2 linked regions of the Caenorhabditis elegans genome follow. The protein of the gene in region 2 purifies or fractionates together with the protein of the main gene of each other region. This does not show direct contact. Each region holds a gene or a part of one and is shown on either strand. Other genes may lie near its edges.

What was found.
Region 1: the proteins of D1054.19 (region 2) and appg-2 fractionate together in Caenorhabditis elegans (co-fractionation; one large-scale study listed by BioGRID). This does not show direct contact.

The regions. Positions count from the first base shown.
Region 1 is NC_003280.10:8,799,437-8,803,368, reverse strand, and holds the start of appg-2 (Activated in Blocked Unfolded protein response), read right to left. Parts: upstream 2,240-3,932; 5' UTR 2,168-2,239; coding exon 2,105-2,167; intron 1,402-2,104; coding exon 1,255-1,401; intron 1,209-1,254; coding exon 1,038-1,208; intron 990-1,037; coding exon 807-989; intron 760-806; coding exon 1-759.
Region 2 is NC_003283.11:10,793,637-10,797,483, reverse strand, and holds D1054.19 (Ragulator complex protein LAMTOR5), read right to left. Parts: upstream 1,691-3,847; 5' UTR 1,685-1,690; coding exon 1,541-1,684; intron 1,291-1,540; exon of another isoform or gene 1,246-1,290; intron 840-1,245; coding exon 747-839; 3' UTR 667-746; downstream 1-666. Other genes in the region: srh-184 (Serpentine Receptor, class H), read left to right, coding at 75-378, 428-621; ule-3 (Uterine Lumin Expressed/locailized), read right to left, coding at 2,623-3,245, 3,302-3,454, 3,499-3,676.

The sequences.
Region 1 (3,932 bases), on a different chromosome or scaffold from region 2:
TGGGATGTACTGTTGAGACAGTTGCTGAGGTTGTTGATAGCTGTTCTTGATCTTCAGCACAATTTGAGCAACAATACATTTAGTCTCACAAGCTGGCTGACACTCTGGGACGCATTGTTTTGGAAGCGAGATAGTTGTAGTAAAGGTGTCAGTACAAGATGGAAGACAAGCTGGCTGACACTGAGAAACGCAGTGAAGTGGGGCTGGAGTCGTCGTGTAAATAGCAACACATCCTGGATCACAAGCTGGTTGACAGATTGAGATGCACACTTTGGTTACTGGTGGAACTGTTGAAATGCCTGAAGACCCCGAAGAAAGATACTGATAAACACATTGTGGCTGGCAAGCTGGTTGACAGGCTGGAATGCATGTTTCAGGAGCACGAGTTGCTTGTGTTGCTTGAGAAGTTACGATCTGAATCTGAAGCTGTCTCTCTACACATTGTGGTTGACAAGCGGGTTGGCAGGCCGGGATACATGTTTCTGTCGTGGTAACTGCTTGAACACATTGTGGAGTGCACGCTGGTTGACAAGCCGGAATGCAGGAAGCTGTTGTTGGTTGAGCTGTAGTTTGAATAGAAACAGTGACCGATTGAATACATTGTGGAGAACAGGTTGGCTGACACTGGGAGGGACATTTCTGGGCAAGTGGCATCTTTTGAATAATCACTTCATACCGCTTCATGACATTAATACACTGAGCGTCACATGTTGGTTGGCAAGCAGAGACACATGATCTTGATGGGGCTAAGGTTGTGGTCTGAAAAATTGAATATTTTTTTGGTTGTGAAAATTGGTCGTTCAGACCGAAGTACGCATGAATTCTTTGACATTTATAGATACAGCAGCTTGAACGCATGTTGGTTGGCAAGATTTGATGCACATATCAATGCAATAAGATTTATTTGGCTGAGCTGTGCAACTGTTGGCACATGATTGAGCACAGGCTTGTGGGCATTGAGAAGCCTTGGTTTGTTGGTTTACAACTACCTGTAATTATATTATTTTATTTGGGTTCAAAGAATGGTAAAGTAGTGCCTTAATTGGTGGAAAATTGGACGATGAGCTCGTTGATGTAGATGGAGTGCATGCCTTATTGCATGTAAATTGACATGTCTTATCACAAAGAAGCTGTGGCTGATGGGAGTTCCTTACACAAGAATCTACACAAGACTTTTGACATGATGGTTGGCATACCGATGTTTGAGCCTGAAATTTCAGACTTGTACTACAATTCCATTCCACAAAGACTTGCCTTATTGGCACAAGAACATCCGCTTGATTGTGGCTCATTTGAGCATTTGCATCGTTGCATTCCACTCCCAATCGGATAACAATTGCATTTCGATTTTTGTGACAGTTGCGCACACGGGCATTGTCGCTTGGCTCGTGTAATCAAGCTCTAAAATGTATGGGATATTAACATGAGTCAGACGTGATAATCAAGTGAGCGACAGGTCATTGTTTGTTGAATTTGCGACATGGCACCGGTTTATTTGTTCTTGTGTTATTTGTATGTGTGAATGTGGGAAAATGTCATAGAAAGGCGGAACCCTTCTCATGGACATGAAATATGATATGGTTCACTTGAGAATGGCGAGACTTGGAACACTTTGCCGAGACAGGTCATCAGTCGGTCAAAATACAAGATATTGCGAAGATCGAGAGATTATAAAGAGTCATGGATGTGCAATGAAAATACTGTAGGCGCGTAGTGTTTAGCTATAAATTGGGATGATCAGGGAAACTAACGTAATTATTTTTCAATTACTGTAAACTACTAATTACACAACTATAGAAAAATAATTGAAAAATTGCACATTTTTAACAAAAAATAAAGACAACCAAAATATGAGCTACATAATTTAAGCAAGGGATTGTAAAAGTTGAAAAAGGAAATACGGTGTTTCTGCATTGATTTTTACTGGAAAAATAAAAATTTACTAGAAAAATAAAAAAAAAACAGTGATATTGGGAGAAAATGTTTCATAGGAAGATTTTGGACTACGTTTTCAAAAGTTGAATAAGAGATTGTAGAATAAGGAAAATGGATGAGAGATATTAGAGGTATAATTTTATTTTATTTTTAATATATCAAAAATTACCTGTTCTGAATCCACAAGGTATGATCCAATAACTATAAGTAATAATATAATGTTCGTCTTCATATCGTTTATTCGTAGAACTCCTCTCGGCGGTACTGCTGGCCGACGACAGTGAGGGAGGTGCTCTTTTGGTGCTCCGCTTCCTTCCGCCACTGTCTTATATACGTCTGTCATGTTGCCGCGGCGGTAGCCATCAGGCGGCAAAAAATTGTAGGATGCTCCTCCTTTCCGTCTCGATGCACCAGGAAGGAATTTACAGGAAGAAGACGAAGAATGGAGGAGACGCAAAAAAACGGATCAACTTTTTGCATCGGATCGTCGTCCGAGGACCGACGGAAATTGACGACTAGATTTTGGATTTTTGGTGGATCCTTGACACGGCCTGAAAAAAGTGTCTAAAGTGCTCAATACGATGTTTGTACAGGGTGGGAATCTCTATGTATTTTGATCCATTCAAAAAGTTGTCTCAAGGGATGTACGCGTATTTAGACAGATCAAAAAGTTGCCGGTGGTCTTCATTGCCGGAATGAGGGATCTTAAAGTTTTCAGTATACATTTTATGTTCCAAGTGTTCGACAATTCTTCAGGGAAAAAACGTAGTTGATCATGTCTGAGCTTAAATCATTTGAATTTGTTTTTGGATTTAATTGAATATGTTTTTTTTTGTGAATATATTTACAATTCAAGTATCAGAAACTTTTCCAGTTACACAATTTCTTTGAATATTACAAAGTAACTATCAAATAAAACTTTATCACGGGAAACACTTGTAAGTAGTAAGGAACTTGAAATATTACTTAAATCCCGTTTTTCCAACTTGGTAATGTCTAAAAGTGTTTCTTCGTACCTTCATAATTCAACACCCTGCAGAAAAACAATATTTCTTTTGATGAAATTGCATATTGTTCATTTGATTTTTTCTCTTTCAAAAAATGCCAACCTATTCATTTTCAAAGTCCGTCACTTGCCATCAAACAAAAAAAAACAAGTCAAGTTGGTCATTGCCAAGATGCGCAAAAAGTGATCATTTGATGCTCAACAATGCGTAAGCATGTTCCACACATTTCTCGCCTCCACAATATGTTTCTTGCCGGGTTATTTGGTTATTTCGTTGCCTTCCGCAATTGTCCGAGAATGAGACTGTGTACGTTGCAAAACCGTAAATACACAACGCATTATCCCACCAGTGGTGCCTTCTTCTGATTTTTGACTGGCAGTGGAGCATGTGGGAGGATTAAATGTGAAACAAAACGGGAAGGTGATGATGATGCATTGCCGATAGACACGGAGAAGCTTCATTTCCTTTTTTAGGATTGCCATTCTTCTTTGTAATCAAGACAGTGGAGACGGAGAGAAAGTGAAGGAAGTTGAGAACATTTTGACCGATGACCGTTGTGATTGACAAGAAAAGGAGTACTCGTGTGATCTTTGTTTCCCGAGATTGACGGCTTCTCCTACACTCTTGTCTATTTTAGTGTAACTATCAAAATTTACTATTTTTACTGTAGTTTCTCTGTTACTCTTGCATCCGATTACTCAACTATTGCAACTCTTATCTCATTTATCTTTGGGTGATTCCCTTTTGACCTTCAAGCTTATTTCAGCTTCAAAAATAATTCAGGATTATTTTTGCCTCACTCTTTTTTGGAGCTGGTTCAATACATATTTAGAAAACTAAGCGTTCATAAAACTTAAATATTTGTATTGATTCTTGTCTATTTCAATTCAGAAAACGAAACAATTATCGTGAGAGAGTAGTATTTTGGTGTGCACCTATGATATTAATTATGTAGTGACGTGGTGCAGCTGGAAACATTGAAAATCTATA
Region 2 (3,847 bases):
ACTTTATATGCAATTTATAGTGATAGAGTTTTGAACCGCTAATTCAACGTTTTATTCTAACAATTATATTTCAGGAGATTCCATGTATCCCAAAAGATGTCATAAATCGACCTGGTTATTTTGTACTATCAATCGTGAATACAATTCCTTGCCTTTGCCTTATTTTCATGTTTTCACTCATCATTCCTCAAGCTTTATATTTTGTTCTTTCTATTTTTTGGTATCTCTACCACACTGTTTCAAAATCACAGGTTACAAATCGCCTCCAAAAACAATTTTTCTTTGCTTTATGCATTCAAGTATTCATACCAATTTTTGTGTTATCATTTCCCGTTCTATACATAGTTTTGGCAATTTGGTTCAACTATTATAATCAGGGTATGAAAGATTTCGCTCAAAACTGAACTGATTTAATGATATTTTTTAGCTGCCACAAATTTTGCACTTTTTGGAATTGCACTTCATGGAATTCTATCAACGCTGACAATGCTTTTTGTGCATACTCCATATCGTGAAGCAACTTTCCAAATATTCCACGTCAGTACGAAACGAACTGCAAATGGTTCTCAACAAATATGGAGAACAACCGTTGGAACACAAGCACAGCAAAGTATTTGGTAAAATACGTATTGAATGATTGTACTCATTTTTTTTGTTAAATGCAACTTGATAAAATAATTTTCAATATATATTAATACATACAGTAATCACATAAAAATTGGTAACATAAATAATTAGTTTCTACTTCATTTTAAACATCTTCGAAATGTGCAAACTTCCTGGATTTCCACAATTTTCAATTCTCCCTGACGTTCATTTGGAATCAGAACTGCTTCATTCTGCAATGAATCACTGAAATATAAGTGCTATCCAGCAATGGTTAGGCGATTTTTGTTGCATCAAAGTTTAGACTTTTGCAAAATTACAGGTGTTTTTGATTTTTGTGAAATGCCGCTATCATTTTCAAATCTTTGGTTCTGGTTTTGACTGAAGATAAAACAAGTGGGGATTTTATTTGCATATTTTAAAAATATACCAGAAAGGTTAAAAATCATTATGAAAAAATTCAGGAAATTTGGAAAAACACTGTCGCATATTTTACCCATCACCACATTTTAAAATTAAGAATGAAAAAATAAGTTCAACATAAAATTTTATGAGATGTTTCTAAATTTTTCTGCTAGAACTTCTTGAAACTTTTTGACGGTAAGCAAATACATTTTTTTGAAATTATAAATTTCCCACTTTCTCGGTTGTTCAAAATTTGCAAACGGCGGTTATAATAATCGTAAATCAAGTTGCATAAAAAAAGAGTCGTATGTAAAATAAAAATGAGATTCAAGTATAATCGTATCAAAAGAAAAGAAACAAGATATTTATGCCTTCCATCAAGATGGTTATTTGATCGATATGCTATTCACCTTGGTCAAAACACAACGATCACATTTTATCATAGAAAAAAGTCGTTTTCCTTACTTTCTAGTTACTACAGTTGAAACAAGTGTTATTTCCGATATCCTAATCAATAAAAGTAACTAACCGAAAAATGCACGTGTTTGGCCTGCATTCTGATCTCTGCCATCTCTTGTGGAAATGTATCTGTCCTCCGAATTTGCGTTGGTATGTTTATGTTTTGATTTAACTTTGCTTTGGGTTTTTCTTTACAAGACAAGATGCATCCCATTGGGCTGAAATTAAATATTCGTTATCAGGTTAACAGTTGTGTTCGGAATTTGGAGAGAGAGAGAAAAACAAAAAAGTTTGAAAAAACCCGTCAACGCATTTGAAAAAGAAATTTTCTTCAATCGTCTATCTGTTCTTATGTTCTCCACTGTGGTTTGCCTCGTGTTTACCTAGAAGGACAAAAATGGAGAGAAGACGATGGCTCGTCGGCTGAGTTGACCTCCTTCAAAAAAACAGCTGTGAATTTAACATTTGGCTACAAGAAGACAACAATCACATTTTCATGAAACATTTTGAAGATAACTTTTAAAAGGTGATCAATGACTGCAAAATATATAGTCGTATTGATTTAATATTTTATGAGAACGTTGCATATTATTTACAAATAAATCTAAAATAATAATAGCTGTGAATATTAATTTTTAATTTTTCAATTTTAAACGCGACCATATTTTGTCCAAAAATGAAACGGTTAAAAGTTCATAATTCTCAGTATATGTAGATTTTACCTAAAAATTATTCAATATCGTTTTGCTAACTTAAAATTTTCAGGCAACTTTGTGGCAAAATGGGAATTCAAAAAAAATGTAGACTATTGTTCTATCTCTTTTAGGCAGTTTCGCACTATAAGAGGCATTTTTAACATTTCCCCGGTGGCGACCATTAAAAAGCTGATAATCTTCAAGAAAACTTTTGGTGAAAATGGAAAAGCTATTGCTGCGATCGCAAGTACATATAAGGTCTATTATATTTTACCTAACCAAGATTTTTTCCTTCGGGCGAAAATTAGGTACGAAGTTAGGTCCGAATATTAAATGATTCTAGTGGTCATATTATAATTTTCTTACATTCTCTGAAAATTGTATAAATAACTTTAGCTTTCATTGACTTTTATTCAATAATCAATTGACATATTAAACAATTAAAATCGAAATGCATTTAGAAAACTTGACCGAGAATTTTTCCCAATTCGTTAATAGCATTATTAAGCGCCGCATCTGGTGAAGCTGGTGTTGTTGCTACAGTGATCACTTCCGTAGCTGATTCTTCTGTAACTCCGGCAGCAGCTTTGGTGACAGCACCTTCGGTGGCGGCGGCATCGGTAGCGGAAGCTTCGGTGGCGGCAGCGTCAGTAGCGGAAGCTTCAGTTGTGGTAGATTCGGCGGCAGGAGTTTCGGTGGCAGCGGCTTCAGTTGTGGATTCGGTGTCAGCTGCTTCAGTCGTGGATTCAGCGCTGTTAGCAGTTGCTCCACCAGCTTGTCTCTTCCTTCTCGACGGAATAACTGGAACGAAGAAGTCATCTTCCAAAATTTCCTGAATCTTTTGCGCCAGTTGTTGTACTCCGTGTTCCACAGGAAGACCAATAATAGTTTTGTCGAGTCCAAGACAAGTGAGTTGCGTGATTTCGATTTTCTTAGAGAATCCGTTTGTAGTTGCATTCATATCAATAACAAATCCCTCATATCTTCTGTCATCGCGATTACAAACGAGAGTGACACCGGCGGTGCTTCCAATAGCGACAACACTGGCAGAACGGACATCACGAGTTTTGTTGTGACGAGCTGGATATAGTTAAATACAATCACTAATCTACTTTGAATAGTTCGAGATAACTAACCGAAAAGGAAGTTCAAATTCTTTTCATCTCTATCACAGACAACAAGAGCAGTCACTTTTCTGTTGTATTTGACATATCGAATGATTGGTGGATAGAATGCTTCCTCAGGGATACCAGGGAACTCACCCACATATGCTCTCAAACGTGGGCACTCTGAAATTGGTAAGATGTTTATTTATTAATGGACTACGGTTTACGTTTATGACGATGTTCACGACTTCCACTATCGTAATCCCAGTACACTGATCCATAAACCGGAGGTGGATAGTAAACATTTGATGAATAGGAAGAAGCCGGTGGATTATTGGCTGGTCCTGATCCGTATTGAGCACAAACTGCGGTAACTGCCAAAGAGATAGCAAGAACAACTAACATCTTGGTGAATGATGTTCTTTGTGGAGTTGTAAAGGTTTTTATAGAAAGAAATCAGAGGGAAAACATAAAACATCACGTCACAAAGATGGATGTTTTGTGAACGAATTTTGTTTTTTCCAAAAGTTTCAATTCTATTCAGACGGATATCCGAATGAAAATAAAATGAATAAT